Tamandua tetradactyla: one gene and its partner. Each later gene encodes a partner of the first gene's protein in a complex. Links are inferred from orthologs where the notes say so. Each region holds a gene or a part of one and is shown on either strand. Other genes may lie near its edges. The genes, in order: SMC5 and EID3.

What was found.
Region 2: SMC5 (region 1) and EID3 share a complex: the UniProt entries of both Homo sapiens proteins name them as parts of the SMC5-SMC6 complex. The link is inferred for Tamandua tetradactyla from reciprocal best matches to the Homo sapiens genes SMC5 and EID3.

What each region holds. Positions count from the first base shown.
Region 1 is NC_135328.1:100,312,423-100,327,988, reverse strand, and holds the start of SMC5 (structural maintenance of chromosomes protein 5), read right to left. Parts: upstream 8,007-15,566; 5' UTR 7,911-8,006; coding exon 7,723-7,910; intron 2,600-7,722; coding exon 2,458-2,599; intron 1-2,457. UniProt on the Homo sapiens protein: Core component of the SMC5-SMC6 complex, a complex involved in repair of DNA double-strand breaks by homologous recombination.
Region 2 is NC_135333.1:174,445,198-174,461,272, reverse strand, and holds EID3 (EP300-interacting inhibitor of differentiation 3), read right to left. Parts: upstream 6,887-16,075; 5' UTR 6,775-6,886; coding exon 5,686-6,774; 3' UTR 4,305-5,685; downstream 1-4,304. UniProt on the Homo sapiens protein: Tissue-specific component of the SMC5-SMC6 complex, a complex involved in repair of DNA double-strand breaks by homologous recombination.

The DNA of each region.
Region 1 (15,566 bases):
TGATACTGTGTGAACGCATTTTACCCACAGTTCTCTCACACCCTGCCACTGCTTTATGAATTAACTTGATGTAATAGTCTAAATCTTTTGTTGCTACTTCAATAATGTCCATGGCATCTTCATCAGGAGCATATTCTAGTTGCTCATCCATTAAGAAGCAACTCATCTGTTCTTGTTTTATCATTAGATTGCTGCAATTCATCTACATCTTCAGGTTCCACTTTTAGCTCTAGTCTATTGTTATTTCCACCACACATCTACAAATGTACATGTGTACAAGTCCTACAACAACTTCTGAAGTTCTGAATCCCCTTTAATCATCTATGAGGGCTGGAATCAACTTCTTCCAAACTCTAGTGAGTGTTGACATTTTGACTTCCTTCCATGAATCACAAATGTTCTTAATGGCATTTAGAGCAGTGAATCTTTTCTAGAAAGTTTTCAATTTACTTTGCCCAGATCTATCAAAGGAATCACTATCTATGGTAGCTATGGCCTTAAAAAATGTACTTCTTAAATAAGTCTTGAAAGTTGAAATGACTCCTTATCCACAGGCTGGAGAATAGATATGTCAGCAGGCATAACAACAATCATCTCTTAATCTCCATCAAAGTTCTTGGGTGACCAGATGTGTTGTCAATGAGCAGTCATATTTTGAAAGGAATTTATTTTTCTGAGCAGTAGGTCTCAACAGTGGACTTCGAATACTCAGTGTGCATTATATTGTAAACAGATGTGTTGTCCTCCCAGTCTTGCTGTTCCATTTACTCAGTACAGGCAGAGTAGATTTAGCATAACTCTTAAGGGCCTTAGGATTTTCAGAATGGTTAATGCACACTGGCTTTCACTTAAAGTCACCAGTTGCATTAGCCACTCACAAAAGAATCGTCCTATCCTTTGAAGCTTTGAAAACCAGGCACTCCTGCCCTGGGATGCTACTTAGCAATAAAAAGGAAAAAAAAAAAAAGAAAACCAGGCACTGACTTCTCTCTAGCTATAAAAGTCCTAGATGGCATCTTCTTCCAATAGAAGGCTGTTTCATCTACACTGAAAATCTGCTGTCTAGTGTAGCCACCTTCCTCAATTATTTTAGCTAGATCTTCTGGATAACTTGCTGCTACATCAGCACTTGCTGCTTTACCTTGTACTCTGATTCTTCAAATCTTTTCATTATTGTATCTGTTATGATGATCTGTGATCAGTGGTCTTTGATTTTAATATTTAAATTGTTTTGGGGTGCTATGAACCACACCCATTTAAGATGGCTAACTTAATTGATGAATATTATTAATATTCATTAATAATATATTATTGAGACAGCTTCTTTCCTTAATCCTCAGGAATCAACCTCTGTTAGCTTCAAACTTTTCTTCTGCAGCTTCCCGACCTCTCTCAGCTTTCACAGAATTAAGGTCTTATGCTAGATTAGGCTTTGGCTTAAGGGAATGTTGTGGCTGGTTTGATTATCTATCCAAACCATTAAAACTTTCTCTATACCAGCAATACAGCTGCTTCCTTTTTTAATCATTCATCTGTTCACTAGAAAAGCACTTTTAATTTCTTTCAAGAATTTTTTCCTTTGCATTCACAACTTGGCTAATGGTTGGCACAAGAGGGCCTAGCTTTCAGACTATCTCGGCTCCTGACATGCCTTCCTCATTAAACTTAATCATTTATTGGTGTTGATTTAAAGTAAGAGATATGTGACTCTTTCCTTCACTTGCATACCTAAGAGGCCGTTGTAGGGTTTTTAATAGCCTAATCTCAATATTGCTGTGTTTTAGGGAATAGGGAGGCCTGAGGACAGAAGAGAGACTCGGAAATGGCCAGTTGGTGGAGCAATTAGAATGCACACAATATTCATTAATTAAGTTAGCCATCTTAAATGGGTGTGGTTCATAGCACCCCAAAACAATTATAATAGTAAAATCAAAGATCACTGATCACAGATCATAACAGATACAATAATGAAAAGATATGAAAAATTGTGAAATTAACAAAATGTGATACAGAGATACGAAGTGAGCACATGTGCTGAAAAAATGACAGACAAGCTTGAAGCAGGGTTGCCACAAACCTTCAATTTGTTAAAAAAAAAAAAAACACAACTATGAAGTGCAAAAAAGTGAAGGACAAACAAAATACGCTGTATTTGTTTTTGCCCTTGGCTCATTTTCTCCACCTTTCCAAAAGCCCAGCACTGCATTATAAAAGACAAACTTCACATATTTCTAGCATTTTAGGTGTTAGGTACTTGGAAAATTCTCTAAGTAGAGTCCAACATACTTCCAAAACTGGTAATCTCTTACCAACTTTTCCACCTGCCAACTTCATTCCTTATATTCAAACACTACATATTTACTACATCCAAGGAACTGAAACACAAGAATTGATTTGTTACTACAAGCAGTTGATTTAATTTGAATTAAAAATACATAAACAGTTATGTTAACTTACCTTATCTGCTCGTCCCATGAAAGAAGGTTTGCCTGCTAACCCAAGGCAAATGGCACATACAATGCTGGACTTCCCTGTTCCATTAGCTCCAATAATCATATTCAAGTGGGGTCCAGGAGATACTTCACAGATATCATACGTCCTGAATTATAAAGAGTTGAAATTACTAAACAGAGTTAAGAGGAGAATATTTTTTCTATAAAAGTACTTTTGTTACTTAATATTATCATTATTTACAGGCTCACTCAGATTCCTTTAAAAAGTCAACTAAACTTATAAACAATGTTATTTACAGGTTTTTAATAAACTAGAGGGAAAAAATCTATCAGTGAAAGAAATGAAAAGGCAACGATGCATATCCAACCAAAAAAAAAGTCAGTGGAAAAATAAGACTTTGCATACCTTTTTCAAAATAAGTGTTGACGAATTACTGATTGTATATGTAGAATGGAATGATATCTTAATGTTTTGTTTGTTAATTTTTTTTATTAATAAAAAAGTTTTAAAAAATTAGTGTTGAATAAAACAAAGTTTGATATAATTTATTCTTCTGTAATAATTACAATTCATAGGCTAATGTACAAACAAAATAATTTTATGACAAATTTTGTTAGAGAAGCCACGGCTTATCTTAATATGTGGATTTCATATTTATATTTCTCTTGAATTAAATGATTAATAGCAATCTCCAAATTTTAATATTTGAAACAATCCAGTCATATTATTTTTATTGTAATTAGAAAACTGAAGAATAACATATTTTATTTTAACTAAAAAAAAAAAAGATTCACCAAAGGACCTGTTGTTAGTCCATGTTCAAATAAATTTTATTCCTGTAGGAGGAAATAAGAGTGCATCACCAAGCACTTCTGTAATATTCCCTTATGCCAGAAAGCTGCACGCTGTCCAGTATCCTATCTACCAGCAATAGTTAGCATCTAATCCTTATTAACTGCTATAGCAACTATGGCAAAATGTGAAACAAACTCTGACTTGGACATCCTTCCAATCTGTCTTTGAATACCCTGAATTGGAACCCATAAAGAATGTCCCATTCCCAGAGGGTCTCAGCTAGCTGTCAGGTAACTTAACTAATTCCTAAGGAATAAATAATCTGCAACTATCTTGTCAGGTATATGAAGAATTTAAACAATCATAACTCATTTTAATACTCAAAGAGATTACTTACTTTGTAATTCCAAGTGATAATAAAAAAAAAAAACATAGGTGGAAAAGGGAAAGTATTTTCTGGTAAGTTTACCAACCCCACACCTCTCAATTCACATTACTTAGCTACTTTATCTTTTAAGATGTTTTGTTGTGTTAGCAATTTGAGGGATCCATTATTAAAAGGCTTTTCCCACTGTTTCCACATCAGCTTTACAGAGTAGTTTTTGATCAAGATGGGAAAAATAGCGTCCATAGTTTTTCTGCCTTAATGATTAGCTTCAAGAATTTATACATTAAATTCCCTTTTACAAATGGTAAAAATAACACATATGGCTACAACAAAACTAGTTTGGGCACTTCAGACAGCTGAAAAATTACCTTACATGGACCTTCTTAATCCCAACAAACAAAACTCCATTCTTTCAACACATGAATTTACTGCAGGGAAATCTTTGCACAAATGTCTTAATAAAATAGCAATGTAACTGGTATTTCAGAAAACAATAAAAATAATATGAAAAAGCAGAAAAATTCTGGTCTCTAACATATACAGAGCAATTATAAATAGGAATAACTGCCAAAAACAAAATAAACCCTCTGCATTTAAAAAAAAAAAAATCATTCTCTGACTACACCATTCATTGGGAATGCCCTTTTAGTGAGCTCTCTTTTCTCTGTCCATCTGAAAGAGTTATTGTCAAGGGCCCACCCTCTTCTCACTCTACACAGTTTGTCCGATAGCTCATGTTTTTCCCATGGCTTCAGATACCATCTACATGTTGAAAGTCACCCCATTTGAGTATTTATGCAATTACCCACTGCGCCGGTTTGAATCTGTGGTGTACCCCAGAAAAGCCATGTCCTTTATTCCTCATTCAATACTGCTGGGTGGGAATTTGATTGTACTATCTCTACAGAGATGTGACTCACAAAATTGTGGGTATTAACCTTTGATTAGAGGGAGACATGACTACCATTCCAGGTGGATCTTGATTAGTTTACTGGAATCCTTTAAAAAGAGGAAATATTTTTTTGGAAAGAGCAGCAGAGCCCCGAGAAGCAGAGACACACAGCCAGAGACCTCTGGAGATGAAGAAGGAATGTGCCCCTGGGGGAACTTCATGAAACAAGAAGCCTGGAGAGAAAACTAGCAGACATCACCATGTTGGCCATGTGCCTTTCCAGTTGAGAAACTATGAACTTCATGGGTCTTTCTTGAGTGACAGTAACTTCTAGTTGGTGCCTTAATTTGGACATTTTTTTAAACTTGTTTTAATTGGGACATTTTCATGGCTTTAGAACTTTAAATTTTCAACTCAATAAATTCCCTCTTTTAAAAGCCATTCTGTTTCTGGTATATGGCATTCCGGCTGCTAGCAAACTAGAATACCCACTCTATAGCTAATCTATTTAGGTATCTGACAACAATTACCTCAACCATAACATGTTCAAAAATTATTCACCGGTTTTTCTGATCCAAAACTATGCTTGTCATCTCAGGTAATGGCAACATCATTGATCTCATTGCCCAATTCAGAAACCTAGGCATTTGTTTTGTATCATCTCCGATTCTTCCATCTCCTTCAACTCTACCCATAACCTACCCCCAACTCCCCACCCCTGCCCCCAATCATTGAATGAATCACAAAGTCATGTTTCCTGGTCCTCTTAAATAGCTCTTGAATTCATCCACCTCTGCCACTACTCTGGTCCCCATCATCTCTTATAAGAATTATGGCAATAGCCTTCTTTAGTACTGCTTAACTCTTCCCACTCCTAATTTAATCTCGTTACTGCAATTTAAGCAATTATTTTTCAAAATGAAAATGTGATGTCACTTGAAGAGGGAGCAACAGACAGTAGATGGAAGGATGGATAAATCAGGACCCTTCACAATTTAGCCCTAGCTTCATCTTTCACTACTTTCTATCTCCTTCTCCTGTCCTCTGCTCAGACCTCTAAATTCCAACTATAATTTACTTCTTTGAGTTTCCTGACTACCTTCTTTTTTCTTCTTTCTCCAAACCTTTACTTGGAGACTGTACTCTCTTCCAGGCCATTTCCCGTCTCTAAAGCTAACCCTCTACTTCTTTCCTAAAACTCAAAATCCTCTCATTGTTAAACAAAGAAAACATCAAGCGGCTCTACACTTTTCCATCATTTTTTCTTTCTCCTCTTCACATAAAAGTGAACCCTCATTTATTCTACAATGGCCTGCATTGTTTCCCACTACATTGTTTCCCTATAAAGTTTCTCGCTTCTACTTTTTCATCAAAAGTCAAAGATTTACTAATTGTTGTATTTCATGGGCTTTTTTCAGTCTTGCTATTCAACTCTAACACAGTACATGTTTTTGAAACATTCTTTCTCCTTGGCTCCTGTGATAATACCCACACCATTCCCCCCACATTCTCTTCTTACCTCCCTGAAGAGCTAGTTCCTCCTCAGTCTGTGAGTTCTCCTGTGCTCACACTTAAATGATGGTATTTCCCCCAAGACTCTGTACTCGATCTTCAATTTCTCTTCTTTCCTTGTGTACAATCTCAACCATTCTTATAGCTACATACATGATTCCCAAATCTCTCATCTGTTCACAAACCTTCCTCTAAGCAATTATATATAATTGCTATGGAACAACTTAGATGGCCTGCAGGAAGCTTCAAGTCACAGGACCTAAAAAGCATTTGTTGTTATCCTCTCCAAACTGCTCGGTCTTCTGCATAGCAGCACTATCTGACCAACTAACCAAGTCAAAGACTTGGGGAAAATGCTGCACTCCTAACTTTCCCTCATGCTTCACAATTAATCTGTAGCTAGATCCTGTCAAATTTCCTTTCTTTCCACTCCTACTCCCCATTGCTATTCTGTTCAAGTCCTGATCACCTCTTGCTTTCATACTACACAAGTTTCCTTGCCTACAGTCTTGTACTCTTTTTATATCATCCCCCACACTGCTTCCAGAGTAACAAAGTCATTTCCTGTTTAAATCTCATCCTGCTTGCCTACAGGTAGAAGCTGGAATTCCTTGGCATAATTAACATATAAATTCTCAATGGCTACCTATCTCTTCAATATCACCTCTGTTCACAAATTCACTCACATCCTATGTTTTCCTTATATTGAAACACTAGAAACTTTCTAAATATACCAAACTGTTTCAGGCAGTTCCTCGGTCTGCAAAGGCCTTTCCGTCTTTGTTATGGGAAGAAAAGCCTCCTAGCCTTTCAAGATTTTCATTGATTCCCTTTACAAAGTCTTTCCTGTTCTGTGGGCATATTAACTACTTCTCCCTTTGTGCCCCTATGGCATCCTGATGTATACACTATTTTGGTATCTACTTCATTTAATTATATTTACTTATCTTTCCTGATCTGGGATCAAATAGCAACTTAGCTATTTATTGGCTGTGTAAACTAATAAGTTAGTTTTATTAAAACGTAATTACTAAATTTTAAAACGATTACTAACTGACTAAAGGGAGAGAAAAGGAATCAGGAAAGAGAGCTGAATTTGCAGGGCTCAAGAATGTTAGTAGTCCCAGCAACTGACAGCGAGGTTTAATTTCTTGCAGACGAACCCCCCATTTGGAGCAACCTTTACCATCTTTCTATTTCTCTCTGATCACTGGCAAATGCCTACTCTTTAACAATCTGCCACGGCATCACTGTCACTAGGATTTAACTGTTGTCTTCTCTGAGTGCCATAGTTTTCTATAGGCCCACTGTTTCGTGAATTATAGATTATGACCCCTATGGACCGTAACTCTCAGTAACCTTACACATCCGCTGCCTGACATATGAAGCCTTCGAAAAACGTTAGCGGAACGATTAAAAACAAGACTCCACAGAACACACGCACATAAGAAACCAACACACACGTCAATTTTCAGGCCTGTATATAAACAAATCCTCACGGTAACACAGGACTTCAGCACGAATTCACTGCCAGACCGACAACCCTGGCGCAGTCTCTCCCCACACCGACCGACAAACACCCCCATACCCCACGGTGCGCACACGCATATACGCAGCTTGTGCCCCCCGCCTGCGAGCCCGCTTGCCGCCTCGGCTGCGGCGCGGCCTCTCGGTCACTCACAGGAAATTCTCCATCGCGATACGGACGATAGAGCCTTCCACGAAAGAGCCGGACGGTTGCAGCGGTAGCGGCAGCTGCGGGGCCGAACTCCTTCTCTTGCTCGGGACTTCCGACGAAGGGTCTCTCGGAAGAAGTCTCTTAGAGGCCAGAGGACTCGGGGTCGACATTTTCCTGCTCGGAGTCGCCATCCTGGCTTCCTCTCCGAGCTGCACCGGCTTCCGTTCCCACTGACCTGCAGCCGCGGCGCCCGGGCTCCCGACTCCCGCGCGAACTGCCGGGCGCGCAACACAGCCCGCGAGCCCTCCAGGCGCCTGCGCAGTTCTGGCCTGGCGGCGTCACCTGCCCCGTCCCGCTCTGCTTTGCAGGCTAGGAGGCGAGAGTTGCTGGCGGGCGCTAGTGTGCTGACGGGACTCTGTACCTGCCTGTTGCTTTTAGTATTTTGAAAGACCATTTTAGCGTCGGAGAGATCCGATTCGCTTCCCGGAACCCGACTACGTGTGGCGGGAGCGGGTAGAGGGAAGCGGTTGCGAGTGGCACCCGAGGCGCTGGGCGGGGGTGGCGGCCGGGGTGGAGGCCGGCGGAGTTTGGTCGGGCTTGCTGGACTCCTCCCAGATGCCTGAGCGCGCCTGTCTTTGACTTTTTCTCTAATTGGTTTCCCTTTTCCTTTTTTTGCTCTTTTTCCTTCGCTTCAGATCAGGCCCTCGCCGCAGGAAAAAAAAAAAATAACTAAAACTCTTTCAAATGACCCCATGATGCTTCTCTCAAAGCGTCGTGTTAAGTCTCTTGCTCTTTCAAACTTGTGAAAAAGAGTGCACTGCACTGATAATCTTTACTGACTCTCCACCTGCTGCCTACCAAATTCCCTCGTAAATTTTCTTCCCCAGCTAAAATGGGGTAGATTCACTGAAAATATGATTCTACTTTAACCTGCTCACATTTACCTAGCTAATCCCCATTATAGATACGGGCCTGGGGCCTGCGAGGATCTCCGTTCACTGAACTAACGTTTTATCCACCACGAGCTCCGGAAGCAGCAGTAAATGAGGCAGAAAGATCGCGTTCCTCCGAACTTAGTAGTTGTGAAAGAGAATGAGTGAACCAACAAATGATCAGGGTAATTCCTGACGGTGATAGATGCTGTGAAGAAAATAATGTGATGGGGGAAGGCACGGAAGGCTACCAAAGGATGCGATGTTTGACCTGAATCTTGAAAGAGAAGAAGCGAAGTGTGTGAAGATCTGAGAAAAGGAAAAGGGACCAGCACGGACAAAAGCCTTGAGGTGGAAACAACCTGGGATGTTTGAAGAACAAAGGGAAGTCCAGAGCTGGCTGCCCGTTACGGTGGCAGAGTTTAAATTTTATTTTAAAAGGAGTAAGAAACCACTGGGTGATTTTAAGCAGGGGACTGACATGACCTGATTAAAGTTTTAAAATGGCGACTCTGTGGCATGAAGGGGGTCAAATGTGAAATCAGGAAGGCTGTTTACCATTGCAATGGAACCTTGATTCTTGACTCCCAGATAAATGCTCCTTTCTCACATACAATGGTTATGACTCGTGGAAATTATAACCAAACAAAACAGAATAAGTAAAAAACGTGTGAATTTGTGATGGTTATGGGAAATTTAAAAACTTAAAAAGAACTTTAAAACAGTTCAAGTGGCAGGCAATAATAATATTAAAATACTCAGAGCACAATTCTAGCATCCCTCTTTAAAAAGAAATTTTGGCATTCTGCTTCAAAATCTTTAGAAGAGTCAAGTTCTTGGAAGGAATAATTACATTTGGGGGAATATATATGAATGGAAAAATAAGAGTATAGATCATAGTAACTGGAGGAAGGTAGAGAACCAGTCTTGCTCATTTTGTACTGTAATCAGGTCTTGAGTGAACTAATGAAATTGTGTTTCTGAATTTGAAAGTTAAAAATGAGTCTCTAAATGGGGAGAAATTCAACTTCCCCAAGTTGAATTCTTGATATTCTCACAAGCAGTATGGACAACCAAACTATAGGCTGAGCCCCCAGTCTTGGGGTTTGTTCATATGAAACTTAACCCTGCAAAGGATAGGTCAAGTCTACTTAAAATTTAGGCCTGAGAGTCACCCCCAAAAGCCTCTTCTGTTGCTCAGATGTGGCCTCTCTCTCCAGCCAACACAACAAGAAAACTCACCACCCTCCTCTGTCTACGTGGGACGTGACTCCCAGGGGTGTGGACCTTCCTGGCAACGTGGGACAGAAATCTTAGAAAGATCTGAGACTCAGCCAAGGGTTTGAGAAAAACCCTAGAATGAGCTGAGACTCAGCATCAAGGGGTTGAGAAAACCTTCTTGACCAAAAGGGGAAGAGTGAAATGAGACAAAGTGTCAATGGCTGAGAGATTCCAGAGTGGAGAGGTTATCGTGGAGGTTATTCTTATGCATTAAGTAGATATCACCTTGTTATCCAAGATGTAATGGAGAGAACTGCCTGAAAATGTAGAGCTGTGTTCCAGTAGCCATGTTTCTTGAAGATGATTGAATAATGATATAGTTTTCACAATGTGACAGTGTGATTGTGAAAACCTTGTGCCTGATGCTCCTTTTATCTACCTTGTCAACAGATGAGTGGAATATATGGAATAAAAATAAATAATAAGGGGAACAAATGTTAAAATAAATTTAGTTTGAAATGCTGATGATCAATGAAGGCGAGGGGTAATGGGAATGGTGTATATAATCTTTTTTTTTTCTGTTTTCGTTTTATTTCTTTTTCTGTTGTCTTTTTATTTCTTTTTCTGAATTGATGCAAATGTTCTAAGAAATGATGAATATGCAACTATGTGATGATATTGTGAATTACTGATTATGTAGAACGGAATGATCACATTAATGTTTTAGTTCATTTGTTGTAAATTTTTTTTTTAATTTTTTTATTAATCAAAAAAAAGAAAAGAAATTAACACAACATTTAGAAATCATTCCATTCTACAAATGCACTCAGTAATTCTTAGTATCATCACATAGATGTATGATCATCATTTCTTAGTACATTTGCATCGATTTAGGAAAAGAACTAGCAAAACAGCAGAAAAATATAGAATGTTAATATAGAGAAGAGAATTAAAATAATAATACTAATAATATATATATATATATATATATATATATATATATATATATATAAAGGAAAAAGAAAAAAAACAAAAACAAAAGATACAAACACACAAACAAACAAAAAACCATATTTCAGGTGCAGCTTCATTCAGTGTTCCAACATAGTTACATTACACTTAGGTATTATTGTGTTGTCCATTTTTGAGTTTTTGTATCTAGTCCTGTTGCACAGTCTGTATCCCTTCAGCTCCAATTACCCATTATCTTACCCTGTTTCTAACTCCTGCTGGTCTCTGTTACCAATGATATATTCCAAGCTGATTCTCGAATGTCGGTTCACATCAGTGGGACCTTACAGTATTTGTCCTTTAGTTTTGGGCTAGACTCACTCAGCATAATGTTCTCTAGGTCCATCCATGTTATTACACGCTTCATAAGTTTAGTCTGTCTTAAAGCTGCATAATATTCCATCGTAGGTATACGCCACAGTTTGTTTAGCCACTCGTCTGTTGATGAACATTTTGGCTGTTTCCATCTCTTTGCAATTGTAGATAATGCTGCTATAAACACTGGTGTGCAAATGTCCGTCTGTGTCTTTGCCCTTAAGTCCCTTGAGTAGATACCTAGCAGTGGTATTGCTGGGTCGTAATCCATTCTGCCATTCTATGTCTTTTGATTGGGAAATTCAGTCCATTAACTTTTAGTATTATTACTGTTTGGATAATATTTTCCTCTACCATTTTGGCTTTTGTATTATATATATCATATCTGATTTTCCTTCTTTCTACACTTTACTCCATACCTCTCTCTTCTGTTTTTTCGTATCTGACTCTAGTGCTCCCTTTAGTATTTCTTGCAGAGCTGATCTCTTGGTCACAAATTCTCTCAGTGACTTTTTGTCTATAAATGTTTTAATTTCTCCTTCATTTTTGAAGGACAATTTTGCTGGATATAGGCGTCTTGGTTGGCAGTTTTTCTCTTTTAGTAATTTAAATATATCATCCCACTGTCTTCTAGCTTCCATGGTTTCTGCTGAGAAATCTACACATAGTCTTATTGGGTTTCCCTTGTATGTGACAGATTGTTTTTCTCTTGCTGCTTTCAAGATCCTCTCTTTCTCTTTGACCTCTGACATTCTAACTAGTAAGTGTCTTGGAGAATGCCTATTTGGGTCTATTCTCTTTGGGGTGTGCTGCACTTCTTGGATCTGTAAATTTAGGTCTTTCATAAGAGTTGGGAAATTTTCAGTGATAATTTCTTCCATTAGTTTTTCTCCTCCTTTTCCCTTCTCTTCTCCTTCTGGGACACCCACAACACGTATATTTGTGCGCTTCATATTGTCATTCAGTTCCCTGATCCCCTGCTCAAGTTTTTCCATTCTTTTCCGGATAGTTTCTGTTTCTTTTTGGAATTCAGATGTTCCATCCTCCAGTTCACTAATTGTAGCTTCTGTCTCTTTAGATCTACCATTGTAGGTATCCATTGTTTTTTCCATTTTTTCTTCTTTGTCCTTCACTCCCATAAGTTCTGTGATTTGTTTTTTCAGATTTTCTATTTCTTCTTTTTGTTCAGTCCATGTCTTCTTCATGTCCTCCCTCAATTTATTGATTTGGTTTTTGAAGAATTTTTCCATTTCTGTTCGTATATTCAGCATTAGTTGTCTCAGCTCCTGTATCTCATTTGAACTATTGGTTTGTTCCTTTGACTGGGCCATATCTTCAATTTTCCGAGCGTCATCCATTATTTTCTGCTGGTGTCTGGGCATTTGATCAGATTTCCCTGGGTGTGGGACCCAGCTGGTTGAAAGCTTTTTCTGTGAAATCTCTGGGCTCTGTTTTTCTTTTCCTGCCCAGTAGGTGGCGCTCGTGGCGCTCGTCTGTCTGCACGGCAGTCAGCCCGGGAAACCACGCGTGGAGGTGGGGGTCGCTGGCCGCCGCGGCTTGGGAGAGTGCCGGTCCTAATTGCCCAGCTGGCCCGAAACGCCAAGCGTGACGGGAGGGCCCCGCTATCCAACGTTCCCAGTCAGACCGGGGAGCCACGTGCGTGGAGGGGACCCCAGTCGCCAGCCGGCCGGGAAAACGCGCGCCCCTCGGGTAGCTCACCGCAGCAGATTCTCCCTGCCCGTTCAGCTGTTCCAGAATGGGGTACGCTGTCTTTTTGGTCTCTGTCGTGACTCCGGGAGCTGTTTCGTATTGTTTCTGTTTCTTTAGTTGCTTTTCTGGAGGAGGCACTAAGACCCGCGCGTCTTACTAAGCCGCCATCTTCTCCGGAAGTCCATTTGTTGTAAATTTTTTTAATAAAAAATATCAAGTAAAAAGTTATCACAAATACCAAAAAAAAAATGAGTCTCTAAACTTGTGATGAACCTACAAATGCAGGCACATGAGTCCTCTAAACAGCTGCCTGTCATGCATTAGCACCATCCCTTAAAATGGAAAATGCTATTGGATTTGCTTCTAATGACAAAAATAATACATGTTAAATGCAGAAATTTTAAGAAAACACAGAAAAACAAGCATGCGCAATGGGAAAAATTACCCATAATTCTTTTACCCAGAGCTAAGTACTGTTAAGATTTTGGTGTATATTTTGACATTTTTTTTCCTTGTATACTTTTTTCCTTCCAAAAAATAAGATGATACTGCACATATAGTACTATTTGTACTGTTGTTTAACTCCCTTTTCCTCAATATATTATGAATATATTTCCTTCCTATGCCCTTAAATATTCTTCTATGACACAGCTTTAAATAACTATATGTTATTCCATTAAATAGATGTACCACAATTTCTTTAAATCATTACCTTTTATTGGGCTCTGTGTGACTGGAAGTTCACATGTAACTGGAATACTTCTGAAAGGCTATATCAGCTCAGTGCTTACTAGCATCTTTAAAATTTTCATAGCACCCCTAAAAGTGTACATATTTATCTTGACACATTTGGATTTTTTTTAATGTCACTGGTGAAAATGCTTGAAGTGGTGATGTTAAAGAGGCAGAGGGAGGGAGAAGGCTTTGGAAATAGAATATAGTATCAATTAACCAGAATCCTATGCTAAGGAATAAATTAACGTAGCAGCTAATTCTACTCTTCCCAGAGTTTAAAGTCCAGCCACGAACTGGGGTTATCTTCCCCTTCTTGCTAGCTAAAAGATGTATCAGAGCAATTGTACTGTTTCTACTCACCATAGAATGAGTGAACTGGGGCCATTTTAACTGACAGCCTTTCTGTGCTGCAGAAACTTTAAAGCTAATGCAAACAAAAAACTTGCAGAAATGATCAGGGTGGAAAGTTATAAATACATTTCACCTTACCTATTGTATTGTCATCCTTGGCTTCACTCCAGGCCTTTTGTAAGGTTGTCGTAACACACATGCCGCATGTGTCATAATGTGGGGCATGGTGCAAAGAATGGAAGTCTACTGAGACTATCTCTGACTGAATTAGTTTACTATTCCTGCTCTAAAAAGAACCACCACATGTATCAGGAATAATCTGAGGTTTACATTACAAGTGTAAAGGATTATTACTTTTGCTTTTGGCAACCACATGAAGTGGAAGGTGAACCCTGTGGTCTAGAAGGGTGGTGTTTTGGTTTCTTAAAGCTGCTGGGATGCAATATGACAGAAATGGAATGGCTCTTTAAAAAGGAATTTATTAGGTTGCAAGTTTACAGTTCTAAGGCTCTGAAAATGTCCAAACTAAGGAATCCAGGTAAAGATACCTTGATTCAAGAAAGGGCTGATGACGTATGGGGTTTCTCTCTCAGCTGGGAAGACACGTGGCAATGTCTGAGAGCTTTCTCTCACAGCTTTTTCACACAGCTTCCCCAGGGCATTTTCTTTCTGCATCTCCAAAGGTCCCTGGCTGCGTGGGCCCTAAAGCTTTTTCTAAAAATAGTTCCCTCTTAAAGGATTCTAATAAGTGATCCACTTTGAATGGATGGAGACATCTCTACAGAAAACACCTAATCAAAAGGTCCCGCCCACAATTGGGTGGGTCACATCTTCATGGAAACAACTTAGTCAAAAAGATCCCACCCAACAATATTGAATGAGGATTAAAGAACATGGCTTTTCTGGGGTGCACAACAGTTAAACTGGCAGAGGTGGTAAGTCAGATGCTAAAATCTAAGAACTTAGTGCCCACACACACAAAACAACCCCATACGTTCTAATAAACCTCATTGAAAGAACTAATGGGGGGCGGGCCACGGTGGCTCAGCAGGCAAGAATGCTTACCTGCCATGCCAGAGGGCCTGGGTTCGCTCCCCGGTGCCTGCCCATGTAACAAAAAAAAAAAAAAAAAAAAAAAAAAAAGAACTAATGGGAAAGGTCTTGGCAGGAATAAGGAATTCTGAGAAGAACAAAGACCCTTCCCCCAGTGGAACTAAGCTACCACCCAGTATCCTTCTACTAAAGTTTTTAATTTTCAAAAATTAGTTTCAAACATCATACAAAAGCTTAAAACAATCGAAACATTTGCTTCTTCTTACTATAGTAGTAGTGAGATAGTACTGGGATTGGTTATATTAATAGCTATAATGTTAGTAGCCATTTTAATACTAAGCATTTACCGTACACCAGTTACAATTCTAAGCACTTTTCCATATTTCATTTTATATTCTGGATCACTGTCTCAATGGATTTGCCTGTCTTAAAAATTTCCATCTCTTGGATACAAAAACCAAATGAAAGACAAAAAAAAAAAAACCCCACCAACAAGTAATACAACTTAAAGTGTTCTTT
Region 2 (16,075 bases), on another chromosome or scaffold:
CAGAAACAGTTTGCTTTCAGCTGGCAAGGTCAGCAATATACTTTCACTGTCCTACCTCAGGGGTATATCAACTCTCCAGCCCTATGTCATAATCTTGTTCGCAGAGACCTTGATCGTTTCTGCCTCCCACAAGACATCACACTGGTCCATTATATTGATGATATCATGTTGATTGGACCTAGTGAGCAAGAAGTAGCAACTACTCTAGATTTACTGGTAAGGCATTTGTGTGTCAGAGGATGGGAGATAAATCCAACAAAAATACAGGGGACTTCCACCTCAGTAAAATTTCTAGGTGTCCAGTGGTGTGGGGCATGTCGAGATATCCCTTCTAAGGTGAAGGATAAATTGCTGCATCTGGCCCCTCCCACAACCAAAAAAGAGGCACAACGCCTAGTTGGTCTTTTTGGATTTTGGCGACAACATATTCCTCATTTGGGTGTGCTACTCCGGCCCATTCATCGAGTGACCAGAAAAGCTGCTAATTTTGAGTGGGGACCTGAACAAGAGGAGGCTCTGCGACAGGTCCAGGCTGCTGTGCAAGCTGCTCTGCCACTTGGGCCATATGATCCAGCAGATCCAATGGTGCTGGAAGTGTCAGTGGCAAATAGAGATGCTGTCTGGAGCCTTTGGCAGGCCCCAGTAGGAGAATCACAACGCAGACCCTTAGGATTTTGGAGCAAAGCCTTACCATCTGCTGCAGATAACTACTCTCCTTTTGAGAAACAGCTTTTGGCCTGCTACTGGGCCTTAGTAGAGACTGAACGCTTAACCATGGGCCACCAAGTTACCATGAGACCTGAGTTGCCTATCATGAGTTGGGTGTTGTCTGACCCACCAAGCCATAAAGTTGGGTGTGCACAGCAGCACTCTATTGTAAAGTGGAAATGGTATATACGAGATAGAGCCAGAGCAGGTCCTGAAGGCACAAGTAAGTTACATGAAGAAGTGGCACAAATGCCCATGGTTTCCACTCCTGCTGCCACATTACCTTCTCTTTCCCAGACCAGAGCTATGGCCTCTTGGGGAGTTCCTTACAGTGAATTGACTGAGGAAGAGAAAACTCGGGCCTGGTTTACAGATGGTTCAGCACGATATGCAGGTACCACCCTAAAGTGGACAACTGCAGCATTACAACCCCTTTCTGGGGTGTCCTTGAAGGACAGTGGTGAGGGGAAATCCTCCCAGTGGGCAGAACTTCGAGCAGTGCACCTGGTTGTTCATTTTGCTTGGAAGGAAAACTGGCCAGAGGTGCGTTTGTATACTGACTCATGGGCTGTTGCTAATGGTTTGGCTGGATGGTCAGGGACCTGGAAAGACCATAATTGGAAAATTGGTGACAAAGAGGTCTGGGGAAGAAGTATGTGGATAGACCTTTCTGAGTGGGCTAAAAACATGAAGATATTTGTGTCCCATGTGAATGCACACCAGAGGGTGACTTCAGCAGAGGAAGATTTTAATAATCAAGTGGATAAGATGACCCGTTCTATGGATACCAGTCAGCCTGTTTCCCCAGCAACTCCTGTTACTGCCCAATGGGCTCATGAACAAAGTGGTCATGGTGGTAGGGATGGAGGTTATGCATGGGCTCAGCAACATGGACTTCCACTCACCAAGGCTGACCTGGCTACAGCCACTGCTGAGTGCCCAATCTGCCAGCAGCAGAGACCCACACTCAGCCCCCGATATGGCACCATTCCCCGAGGTGACCAGCCAGCTACATGGTGGCAGGTTGATTACATTGGACCACTCCCTTCATGGAAGGGGCAGCGATTTGTTCTAACTGGAATAGACACATACTCTGGATATGGGTTTGCTTTCCCTGAACGCAATGCTTCTGCCAAAACTACTATTCGTGGGCTTACAGAATGCCTTATCCATCGTCATGGTATTCCACATAGCATTGCTTCGGATCAAGGAACACACTTCACAGCAAATGAAGTGCGGGAATGGGCACATGCTCATGGAATTCTCTGGTCTTACCATGTTCCCCATCATCCAGAAGCAGCTGGATTGATAGAACGGTGGAATGGCCTTTTGAAAACTCAATTACGGTGCCGACAAGGTGGCAAAAACTTGAAAGGCTGGGGTAATGTTCTCCAGGAAGCTGTGTATGCTCTGAATCAGCGTCCGCTGTATGGTGCTGTTTCTCCCATAGCCAGGATCCATGGGTCCAGGAACCAAGGGGTGGAAATGGGTGTGGTACCACTCACTATTACTCCTAATGATCCACTAGGAAAATTTTTGCTTCCTGTCCCTGCTACCCTGAGTTCTGCTGGTCTACAGGTTTTAGTTCCAAAACGGGGTGTGCTTTCTCCAGGAGAAACAACAGTGATACCACTGAACTGGAAGTTAAGATTGCCACCTGGCCACTTTGGGCTACTTATGCCTCTGGATCAACACACCAAGAAGGGGATTATATTATTGTCTGGGGTAACTGACCCTGACTATCAGAAGGAAGTAGGACTGCAACTACATAATGGAGGTAAAGAAGAGTTTTCTTGGAATATAGGAGATCCCCTGGGGCGTCTATTAGTACTACCATGCCCTGTGATTAAAATCAATGGAAAACTGCAACAACACAATCCAGGCAGGACCACTAATGGCTCTGAGACTTCAGGAATGAAAGTTTGGGTCACCCCACCAGGCAAAGAACCACGGCCAGCTGAAGTGCTTGCTGAGGGGAAAGGAAACATGGAATGGGTGGTGGAAGAAGGCAGTGATAAATATGAACTTCGACCACGTGATCAGTTACAGAAACGAGGACTGTAATGCTGTTTTGTTTGTGTTATACTATTTAAGTTGTAAGATAACAAGTTTAAGAATGAATGTTGCCCAAGGACTTGCACCCTATTCTGGAGAGATTTAATGTGTTTCCATTTATATGCTGGACAGTTGAGTATTGTCAGGTAAAAGAAAAAATGTGTGCTTATTTGTTTTCATTTGGAAATTAAGTATGGTCTAAGGTGATATATATGTGTGTGTGTGTGTGTGTGTGTGTGTGTGTGTGTGTGTGTGTGTGTGTGTGTGTGTGTGTGTGTGTGCGTGCGCCAAGTTGACAAGGGGTGGACTGTCATGGTTAGGGACAGGTGTCAACTTGGCCAAGTTGTGGTACCTGTTCATCTCATTGGGCAAGCGCTGGCCTGTCTGTTGCAATAAGGACATTTCATAGGATTAGGTCATGATCACATCAACTACATCCACAGCTGATCTTCTGCAATTAGTGATGCTAAATCCAATCATGGGAGGCCTTTTAAGGAGGACTCAGAGGAGACAGGTTCCATTCCTGCTTTGGCTGGTGAGCCTCTCCTGTGGAGTTCATCCAGGCCATCCATTGGAGTCATCGGCTTCGCAGCCTGCCCTGTGGATTTTGGACTCTGCATTCCTACGGTCACGTGAGACACTTTCATAAATTTTATATTTGCAAGTGTTCCCTGTTGATTCTGTTTCTCTAGAGAACCCTAACTAATACAGGTATATACACACGATGGAATATTATGCAGAAGACAAAATGAGGTCCTGAAGCATGCTAAGTGAAATAAGCTGGCACAAAAAGATAAATATAGTTTGATTTCACTATTATGACTCTGGTTAAAAGTGTAAAGTCCAAATCACATGATCCAGGAAGAAAATTTCTATTCATATTTAGCAATGAACTAGATGTTCCGTCTCTGCATCTGGAGTACACAAAATAAGTGGGCAATCTTATAATTTAACAGCTGTAACTTCAGCAAGGACTTCCAAAAAATATCTTCCTCAAAATCTTTACATTCTCTATCAAAAGGTTTCAATTATCAGTAAATGTCAAATAGTTTTAGTAAAGATGCTAAGGCAGTGAACAGAGCAATCTGATGGTGAGTAAAGAATCCAAGCATGGTCTTTTTGCTATTCTAAGAGTACCTTTTCCCCAAACAGGAGGTCTCTGGAAAATCTAAGGAATTAGGTTGGTAAAGACATAAAGTGAGGATTGGTAAAACAATGATGCATCTATGACTGTTAAATCAAAGGCTGACGAGACCAGGAAGCATTAGCTCCTTCACATGAGGAAAAGGAAGGAATGACTACTTCAGGAACAATTGGCAGACATTCATGACTAAGTTCAATTCTTGCTAAAAATCTCCACTATTTTTGGTGAAGAGCCCCACCTCTTCCTCCCCCACCACACACACACACACACACACACACACACACACACACACACACACACACACACACGACATTCCCCCCTAACCCACCCACTTTAACCTTGATGTCATTCATTTAATCTTTGGATTTTCCTTCCTTGTACCAGATTGAACTCAGAATAGTTTTAAAAGTTTATTGTCTTTGCTATGCATAAGAGATATTTACACACTTGTCAACTAATTAATAGACAAATGATAAAAAGTTACAACTACCAAATATTGCGTTCCTACAGAGATAAGGGAAAGAAGCTTACTGCATGCTCACTGTACCTTCAAAAAATGGTGTTTTTTTTTTTGAACACTTTTGAAAATTGCACTAAGAATCAAAATTTCGGCAACAATCTCCAAACAAGGGTGTAACTTATATTCTTAAACAACTGCAAAAAACAAACAACAAAAAGTCTCTACGGCTTTATGCTAAAGAACATTGAAATAAATCATGTATTTTAAATTAAACAAAAGTCTTTAAATCCAGGCATTTAGAATTCTATAAAGAAATGCATATTTGAATTGGAACAAATACTCCAGGCTCTTACATGATGAAACATCACTAACTCTAAAAGGCATGTTGTTTACAAGCAGATATTACAACGAGAAAAACTTGCTATCAGGGAAGAAATTACCAAAAAGATAAAGCCTATAACTGGATGGTAAAAAATTTTGTCTGAAGAAACGTGAAAAAAATATTTATTCTATAAATAAATAACTGGGGATACTAGTGTATGACGGTATTTATTTTTTGTCCAGTTCAACAAAATAAAATGGAAGTTTCCTAGAAATTGTATAGTTCTTCTGTGCCATAACTTCTCACACTTTCATGTGTTTGCCCTGTTTCCCTGCCTGCAATGCAGGCTTTCCCATCTTCTGTGACTAATTCCTTGTCACCTTTCAGCACTTGGTTGACACCTTCCCTCCTGTAGCAGAGATAAGATACTCTACTTTTGTTGAGTCTGGTCACAGGAGAAATTGTTTACCCACTTAGAGATCTTACTGTATCCTCCTCTGCAATGAAGCATGTTAACTGAATTTTTAGCCCTAAGGCTGCATATTAACTGCCTTTCTTGACCACTCATTTTTTTCACCAACTGTCCCCCCAACCTAATAAGAAACCCCTGATGTTCCCCAGAGCTCCTAGTAATGGAAGCAAAGCAGGTTATGAGAGCATCTGCATCTGTATTACCCAATACTTTTTAATTTATTAATCAATTATTTTATTAATTTTTTAAAAGCACAACTTATTTTAACTAGTATAGTCTTAAAGTGTATTTAACATTTTTTCCCATTAAAATACCTGTGACTTTTCTTTCATAAGATCATGACAATCTTTTAAGCTACCAAGAAAAATACACTAGAGAGTAAAACAATTTCTAATGTTCTTGAAAAAAAAGTTTCCCACTTTACAAGAGACAAAGTATGTTCTTCTATTTGGATTTTACTTTCTCCATTTTCAGATATTTAAGAAAAAACAAAAACGCATTTATGCTAAGCACAAAAATCTTTACTACGAGTTTGTGATCATAGCCTCTGAAATTTCAAAAGCTGCCACAATATTTTTCCAGTCCTGTAAACTCAAAGATATAACTCCTTGTTTCCTGCCATTGGAACTGCAATTGTTTCCTTTCCTAGTTTCATCAATATTAACTGGCTCTAATATTGGCAACCTGTCTTGGTCAAGCCTTATTCTTGCAAAACCATCCCTTATAATGAAAGAAACATAAAATATATTCTCCACAGTACGAGAAAAAGAGTTTGGATCAATCACAAATTCAAAATAGGACACAGGACTATCAGGATATTTTCGAAAGTAGGTTTGCAACAATCCCAAGATTCTTTCTACTTCTTTTTCTGTCGCTTCTTGATTACTACTAGGGTCCAACTTCCTCAGCTTTGTCGGCATATCTCTGTTTTCTTCCATTTTGTGAGATTTTTTCTGGTGTTCAGGACGTGGTTTCCGTGCAGAAGACTCATGCTTGAAAGAGCCAAAGATGAAGTGGAACGTCTCAGCTTGCAAGAGCCAGGTTGCTGCTTCCTTCTGCACCGTCTCCCAAAAGTGAACAGCCAAAGAAGCATCACAACCATCCAGCTCATCACGCTCATCACCCGCCATCCAGTTTAGGCCCACAAACATAAACAGACGGTCACAAAACGCTACTTGGTTAAAAAAGCTCGCATTAGAGTTTAACTGCTTTGCTTTTTCTTTACCCAGATCAGAAGCCAACACAAGAAACTGCGCGTCGAGGGCCGCTTCTCTCGTCCGGCTCACTCCATCGAACAGGACGTTGGCTTCTTCGAGGGCCTCGGTTAAGGACTCGCTCGCCGTGTTGACTATGTCGTCGCGATTCTGCTGCACGCTATAGATGAGCTGCCGGTACTGCCTGCGGATGCGCCGACATTTCTCCTCGTCATCCGCAAGCCCCAGGAGCTGGGGATCGACGTCTGCGTCCCCGGAGCTGGGGTCGTCAGAGTCGCTAGAAGGCCCCGCCGCCTCCTCCACCTTCCTCGACTCCGCCGCCGGCTTCACGGCGGGCTCACGCCCGGGCTTCTGTCTCTTCTCTTCGCCAGCTCTCGGGGAACCTTCTTCATCACACATGCCTCCAGCCACCGCCCTCGGCTGGGCGCCTCCCCGACGTTTCCCCCGCCGCGCACGCCGAAGCCGGCAGAAGCCAGAGGCCGCGCGCCTCCGCGCCTCAGCGGCCGGCCCAGCACCGCCCATGCGCACTTGGCGGCCGGCCCGTCCCCGCCCATGCGCACTAGCGGCCGGCTGGGCCCCGCCTCCGCGCTAGCGACAGGCCGCGGCCGCACGCCACGCAACAATGGGCACTTGAAAAACACCTGCTCAAGGGACAGGTGTTGGCTCAGCGCTTCCTGACAATGTCACTCAATTTGTAAAGACATGCTACGGCAAACTCAGGGGGGAAAGGTCCCACTCTTTAAAACATTCGCCGCGATACAGTGCAGTTAGGCCGACCTACATTTTTCTTTCTCGCGATGAAAAGGTCCTTTTTTTGAGAACCCGAAAGTCTGGTTAGATTATAAAATGCTCGCGGGGCAACGATAATGAAATGCACACCCCAATTATAGAGGCCAACTCTCCAGGATCAAACGCAAGGTGGACGCTGGGAACTCGTTCCCGGGGGCCGGGGAAGGGCGGGCGCGCGGGCGCGCACTCGCGAGGGGCCCCCGGCTCCCCACGCCGAGCGGAAGGCTACCGCGGGCCGCGAGCGCGCTCACGGGGACTGGGCCGCCAGGGTCGCCTGCGCGGCGAAGAGGCCTGGGGCCCGGACTCGTCGGGCCACGAAGGCGAACGCCGGGACCCGCCGCGACCCTGCGGGAGGCTCGCCCGCTAGTTCAGCGAAGCGGCTGGAAACTCGCTTCCGGCTGGAGAGGGCCGGTCAGTCCCGAGCACCCAGGCACAGGGAAGGGATTAACACTCGCTCTCAGCCCACGCCATCGAAAGCGCTTACTAACCACCACAGGTGCCGCTAGGGGGCTGAAGAAAAAAGGCGACCCACCACACCTGCCAATCATGGGCTTCAGGGGCCAGGAAGTCAATTAACCCGTAACTTCCTTCCTCTGCAGACTGGTTCATTTTTCTTAGGTAGTAGCATAACGTTTCATACGAATGCAGGAACAGCAAAACCAACTATTAAGTTACTCCAAAATCCTTATGATGCCACTCTTTGTCCACAATTATTTTAAGTAGGAGTAATTCAGAAAGATGTGTTTTTCGAAAACAACATGCATCATAGTTACCTGTGCATATACATTCTCCTCTGCATTAGCATCTCAAAAGCAAAGACTTGGTTTTAAACCTCCCAAACACAGCCGTTTTCACATAAAGGCACTCAAGCATGCACTGAATGAATAAATGAATGTAGATTAAAAACTTTGATCCAGCACCTATTGGAAGTTATTTGGCAGAAAAGATCAAATTCACAGATTAGTATAGGTCATTTATCCTACACACTGAAAGTAAAATCTGACTTCTTTTATAAAAAGTCAACCTCAGCTACACAGCCACTTCCCGGTTTCATGGTTTTCGATTGTTTGGGCGCCAATTTCTCTAAATACTAACCCACAGGAATTAGTGATTTTTGAAGCACATTATAATTGTTCCCACTTATAGGGGATGCCTGACAAAGCAAATGTGTCCAAGAAAAAATCTCAAGTTAAAAAGAAATCCAAAAAGAAAAACTGATGAAGAAATGGAGTTATCAGAGAAAGAGGGTAGAAACACCCTCTTAAACACCTTAAAGAGGGTTTAAAAACACCCAAATCATCTCTCTCCAGATGGAAAAACAAAGCATACTAATCTGAAACAGATAAAGATAACATCCAACAAGAGAAAAACCTGGCAACGTCTTTCAAGGAGTAGCAGAAAGTATTTACAATCTATGATGGAGTCAGTAATAATAGCAATTTGAGTAACAATATTAAAGAAAACAAACAAATCCAGTATCATCTCAACTGTCTGAAGAAAAGATTGCTACAACTGTGTGAAACAGAAAAATTTAACAGTGTCAAGTCTACTGAAAATGGAAAGGGCATAGCACAGTGCTAATGAAGAAGGTCTGGCAATATTGCAGGAAGAAACAGATAAAATAGTGGAGACCACAGAGTCAATGAGAACATTCAAAGCCTCAAAAGCAAACTTCACATTCTGACAAATGAGATGGAAGGAGAGGAGGAGAAGGTAAAACAGATGTTTCAAATGGATAGTAGTGAAGTACTCTCTCTTCCAGAGCTTTCTCAGAACAGTCTCAAAGCACCAGTACTTGAGAAAGAAATTTTGATGCTGATTCCAAACCAGAATGCTCTTCTGAAGGACTGGGATGTTCTTCACAATTCATCCCAGATGAAGGACATACTAACTTTTTCACTGAAGAAGCCTATAAGAGACTGGATGCCTCTTAACAAGTTTTTATTTATATGAGATTGTTTCATCTTAATTTAAACTTTATGAATATATAAAACTATTACCTTACAAATGATATTTCAGAGGCTCGGGCTTAAATTACATGCACTTTAAAATTAGCCTGTGCAGATCTACCATAAGCATCTAGTATAGTCCTGGAGACTCTGTTTTAGCAACTGGCAAGCCTGGAAAATCACATTTATTTATTATACTGCTGCATCTCTGGTTATTTCCCTGGAACCAGAAAATAAGAACGGCCACAATCTGTTAGTTAGTAATGGCAGAATGGAGGTCATTTATTGCTTAGTGCAGATAAGATATGATGCTATGAGTTAATATATGTAGTCTTTGCATGATACCTAGTACCTAGTTTACTCTCGCTAATATCATTTACCTGATATCTTGCAGTTTGTTGTCTGGTCATCAAGATGTTGAGAAATCCCCAAATGCCTTTAATCTTCTATAGAACTCCCTAGTCTTTTTGTAGTGTTAAGATTTGAGAGGTGCCTTTCACTGTGTTGGTAGCATCTACATTGTATTTTTTTATTGCATTAGTGAATAAATGTTGAATTTATTCTCCATTGTGATCAAAGGATGCTTTTATTTAAGAAAACTATTAAAAAGGAATTCCTAAGCAAGTTTATTCTCTTTAGTGACCCCTTTAAACACAGATCAAACAAAAAACCCTTCTTTCTAAACCATTTTTTCCTCACTGTGATAAGCATATGTATATATGTGTATCTAAATTATCACTCAACTATATAAAACAATTATTTCTAACCAAAAAAAAAAAAGTCAACCTCATGCCCTTTCTGGAAAACAGGGAAAATGAGACAATAACAAATTTGGGAATCAGGATCATTTTAAAGAGCCATGTTTTCCCCATGTCTGGCAATTACAAAATAAAATTTAAACCTATTTTAAATCTTAGGTGAAAACATACAGTTAATAATTCCAAGACCCAAAATGCAGAAAAGTTTGCTACTAGATGACCATATTCTTGGGAGTGAGGATTCTATCCTTCTGATAATTTATCTTCAATAAAAGCAGTTTATGAAAGCTCTCCAAAAGACAAGCACGAGGTATTTATTTTCTCCTGTGCTCAGAGGAAGGAAAATTTGCTTCACACACCAATTTGCTTCAAACACAGTCTTTCATCTGAAAATGTCAAAATGTTTCAGAAAAATATATAACTCCCCCAACCTACTTATAAAGTATTAGTAATTCCATTTACAGTGATTTCTCAGGAGATAACAACCCACACAACTCTCACAGAGGCACAGAACACATCAAGGCAAGCAGTATATGAATCAATTTTGACGTCCAGTACTTTCATTCTATGCTGGTCCTGTATCCAAGAACCTTAGTAAAATGTAATTTAAATCATCTTCAGAAAATCATACTTGCATTACTGACTGCAAATACAGCACATGATTTCAGACACTGCTACAAAGTAAAACAATTTCAAGTCTAGAGATTTCCTCATAGTCACAAAGAAATAGATTTCTACCCTTGTGAATTTCAAAATCACTACTAAATGGCTTAAATCTTCTCTATAATGCTCACCATTTTTACCTTCTTGACAGTTTGCCTATAAGCTGTTTACAAATAAACAATAATTTATCTTTTGCAGAAAATAGGACATTACCTAAACAGTAACAACTTCAGGTGCAACCTAAAGATTGCCTCACATTACTTACATGAACTGTGCTCATTTTCCTATGTTCTCTTCTGATCCTGACTCATATGCACTCACTTTTTGGTATAAACATCTTAACTTCCTACCACCAGCAATTTACATTCTGCCCTTTTTAAACTTCTATCAGATATAAAGGTCTGGTTTTATAATGAAAATGTGCAACGATATCAAAGTATGTATACATGAAAACAAGGACAAAATCATTAAAATGAAGTTATACTAGTGTTAAAGAATTAGTTTTATTTTTTCAAAAGATGTCCTATTTGTTGATATGTGATCTTTTACATATTAATAAACATTTTTCCCCAAAGAATCAACAAGTAGTTGTGATTTTCTAACCTATGGTCCAATTTCTACAAGTATTTAAATGCAGCCTAAAAAGGAAGCACACATGGAACTGTAACCCATACCAAACTTCAAAATATATTCTATACTTGGAAATTTTTTTAATGCTTTTTTGAATATATTTTATATTTCACAATTAAAAAAAACACTTAAAAAAGGAAGCACATATAATTTCAAGTTACATTGCTAAACTTTTCTGATTGGGAACAGAAAGTAGAAGTACACTGGTACTTCAAAGACGTAAGACCTCCCTTCTTTATGCAATAAGACTAGTTCAGTCAACTGTGAGACAACACTTGAGTAATGCTTCAGGGTAATTTAACTCCTCCTCATTTCCCTTCCTATCCTCTTTCAGGAGCTGGGGCTCTTCATTTCCTTTCTTCTTCTCTTCAGTCTTTTTTCCAATATTATTTTGCAGTCCTTTTTTTTTTTTCAAGAGTTCTGATTCACCAATTCCAATCACTCTTAAGCTCTTTCCCACTACCCCTACTACTTAACACAGACATGATGGGAAGGATGACAGGTCTCTCTGGTCACATAAGAAGCGAATTCACACAGAGAGTCCACTGTCTTTTCCAGTGGGATTCTTACTGCAGGACTAGCTTGTAACACATGGGTTTTAAAAAGATTCTTTTGAGCCAAAGCCAGGAATCCCCTACTCTAACCAGCTAAACCCACCCTGCTCTTAGCCACATTCCTAACGCATTCCACTCCTTCTTTCACAGGAGCATCGCACCCCTCAAAATTCAGGGTGTCTGTTTAATACAGAACTCTGAAGAAATGTGGTAAAAGTCCAAGTCTGGTTCATTAGGTATATTTTCTCTCTCATCTTAACATTCCTTAAGGTTATGCTTGTGTGTGTGCGTGTGTGTGTGTGTGTGCTTTGTTTTGTTTTTTGGTATCAAAAAAACAACAATAAAGTTTAAAGGTGAACTTTGCTATGATCAAGGCAGATAATCTGTGTGTTTTTAAAATGAATTTCTGAAAAGAGCATAGTAGGAGGAGATGAACCTGGGCTCCAATCTGATCAATTAGCTACCAGTGTTATTTTAAGCAGATTTCTCAGCCTCTCAATCTCTGGTGTTGTTAAAATGGGAATACTACTACTTAATACATCATAAAGTTACCCTAAGTACTGAGTGAGAACTATGTAATGGATCTGACACAATGTTTTCAGCTTCCGAGTAATAAATGTTAAGCTATCTGAAAGACAACAAAACGTTTAGTAAATGTGAGAAATTAAAAAGAAAAAAATTTGTAAATTTTTTTCACAAAATTGGATTGGGAACAGAAAGTAAACCCTTCCTGGCTGTTCTAGGAATGAAAGATTTTTAAAGGTTAAATCCATAAAGAGGAATACAGGAATATATCCCACTGTAACAAATACCAGTGGAAAGAAAATAACCATATAACAAAATGAAAAAACTACTAAGGCTTCAACTAATGAGAGCACATACAGCGCTTTGAAAGGGTCAGCCTCTCTACCAGAAATCCTAACACAGACCCACAAAGAGTTAGAAATCACGTGCAAAATTTTCTATGTACATTTTCCTCATGAACAGTTTCTAAGATTTCAGCTGATTCTCACAAGCAATGGGGACAACCAAATCAGTAGGCTGAGCCCTCAATCTTGGGGTCTGCCCCTATGAGACTCATCCCTGAAGATGATAGGCTAAGCCAACTTAAAATTAGGCCTAAGAGTCACCTCAGAGAATCTCTTTTGTTGCTCAGATGTAGCCTCTTGCTCTAAGCCAATATGGCAAACAAACTCACCACCCTCCCCCCATCTACACAGGACATGACTCCCACACCCTAACGCTCCCCCCATGACATGGGACATGACTCCCAGGGGTGTAAACCTCCCTGGCAACATGGGACAGAAATCCTAGGGTGAGCTGGGACTTGACCAAAAGGGGGTAGAGAGAAATGAGACAAAATAAAGTGTCAGTGGCTCAGAGATTTCAAACAGTGGAGAGGTCATCCTGGATGTTATCTTACGCATTATATAGATATCCCCTTTTTAGTTTATGGTGTATTAGAGTGGCTGGAGGGAAGGACCTGAAACTGTAGAGCTGTTCTCCAGTAGTCATGTTTCTTGAAGATGATTATATAATGATATAGCTTTTGCAATGTGACTGTGTGATTATGAAACCAGTCTGATGCTCCTTTTATCTACAGTATGGACAGATGAGTAAAAGATATGGATAAGAAATAAATAATAAAGGGAACAAAGGTTAAAATAAATTGAGTAGATTGAAATACTAGTGGTCAGTGAGAGGGAGGGGTAAGGGGCATGGCATATGTGAGTTATTTCATTTTTCTTTTTTATTTCTTTTGCTGGAGAGATGCAGATGTTCAAAAAAATGATCATGGTGATAAATACACAACTATGTGATGATATTGTGAGCCACTGATTGTAACCATGTTAAGAATGTATGTCAAAAATGCTTGTATTTATTTGTTGTCTACAATAAAAATCTTTAAAAAAAGTACTAGTAACTGTAGAAAAAAAAAAAAGGCCAGTCGCCAAGAGTCTCTGAATTTACTATTCTATTCAAATAAGATGGCATTATTATTAATGAAGTAAAAGAAGATATAACGGAAGTCATGTCTGACAAAATAATTCGACTCCTGCACTAAAATACTTTAGAGTACATAAAACCCACACCCTTGCACTGTGGTCAAAGTCATACCAACTTCAGAAAACCTAGTGCTAGCTGACTTGCCAAGCCTCAAGAATTAATACAAACAATAGTGAAGAGAATAGACTCTTTCAAGTTACAATCACAGCCAGTTACCAACTCTCTTGGAACAACTCAGACGTCAGCCAAGACCAAGAGCAATCATTTTGATAGAGAGACTAGGGGGACAGAACTGAGTATGTGGTTCTGAAAAGTGACAGTGTTGAAGGAACTTGGCTCTGGAGGCCTGGGTACAAATCAAAAACTTTTATACTATTACTTTCCACCTCTTTCTAAAATTCGAGTTTCTGAATTGTAAAATGAGTATATGAGATATCCACTCTGCCACACAGAGTGGTGGTGATGATTTTTTAATCATATACAAACATTGTTAACAATGTATTTTAAAACATGTACACTGCCCAGATATATTAAAGATGTGTTAAAGGTGACAATGTACTTAGCCCAACGTTGAGAACACGGTGCTCAACAAATGGCAGCTAAATCGAGGTAATGTGACTTCCTTCCCAACACTGTCGTCCCAGCACACAACGCTGCGGTCACACAGCCTTTTAAAACTCTGAACTGTGCTTTCCAACACGCTGCCTTGAATCTCTCCTCAACAACTTAGGTCTCTGATAGACAGCCCACCTTAAATAAAATCAGACACCTTTTAGATTTATCCCTCACTTAAGTCTTCTCCTCTGGTCCTACCACAATCCACTCTTTCAACAAATATTTACTGAATGCTCACTAGTTGTTAAAAAGAGCATGGAAGAATCAAACAGATCATTCTCGTCCTAAAGGAATGCACGGTTTAGGAGACACAGGGATGCAGAGCAGTGCAGCAAGCACCTAGTGGCCGATGGCTTCCTCTGTCCCAGCACCTGGCTGGAACACCAAGGCTCCCACGCGTGCAGCTCTGAGTCAGGAGGACACTCACATCAGGGATATCAGGTGTGGATCCCAACAGCAGGAGCAGAAAGCCAGATGCCAGAAGTGTGAGTACTCAGAATGCCCTTTGCAGGCTGACAGACTGGGCTCCAATCCTGACTCTGCCTCTTAGCCAGCCACCTAATCTTGGGCATGCTGCCAAGCTCTCAGGGCCTCCTTTTTCTCATCTGTGAAAAATGAGGAATACTTGCTGCGTCAGATTGTTGTGAGGATTTAATCTACTAAATTTAAGAGTCTACACATAGTAGGCATTCAGTAAATGGGAGCCACTATCATTGACAGGATATTCACTCAGACAGCTGCTGAACTCTATATACACAGGACCAATAAGGCTAGATGTCTACCGTTAGCATATAACCAAAAAATTGGCATAAGCAGGATTCCTCATTTTCCAGAGATACGAATTTGTAGAAGCACAGAGAGGGAAAGAGCAGCCAAATCTGGCCTTGTCCTCAAAAATGCAGGCAGCTGAAAAAATAGATTTGGGGAAGAGAAGTCAGGAATTAGAATAAAGAACAAAACAAAGGTGAGAAACTTTAGGGATTATAGTTGCATCAGTCAGTATCCCCAGGAGCCCCCAGTCACTGAGGGAACAGAACAGGAGATAACCAGAAAAGCAAGTTGGGACCAGATCCTGGAGGGCAAAGAATACCAGGCTAAGGAATGCGTACTTTACCCTGGACACAGATGTGGGGGCAATCAGAAGAGGACTCCGCAGCCAACAGACTGGGAAAAGAGGGAGATCAGATGTGGGAAACTGCTGAAATGGTTTTGGCAAGAGAAAACGAATACCCGAAATCAGTCTGGGTAAAAGTCAATAAAGGTAGGAGGCAGATATGGGCTAACAGGTCCCAGTAAATGAACTCACAGGAAAGACAGGAGAAAATTTGAAGCCTGGACCATCAGAAGAACAGAACAGAGAAAGGGCAAACAAGAGGTCTGCTGCTTCCATGGTGTTGTCCATCGAAGCAAGAGGAGAGGGTATTGGGACTCAAGATGGAATCACAACCAGTAAAACTTTACTGTAACCAGCACATAACCAGGATAAATGTATTTACAATTCTAACAATACTCCTCTTTTGAATCTTGGTAGTCCTTACCCTAAAGATTCCAAATTCTTCTAAGGTAAGGCACAGAACCTCATCCTCACTTCCCACATCTCAAAGCAGTTCCTCAACCCTCCTCAGGCTTCACCAATCAGCAGCCCCAAAGCAGAAAACACTACTAGGATAAGAGATTATCTCAGAGCAATGAATCAAAAGAAATGGAGTTTTCTGTCAGTTATGGTAGTTTAGCA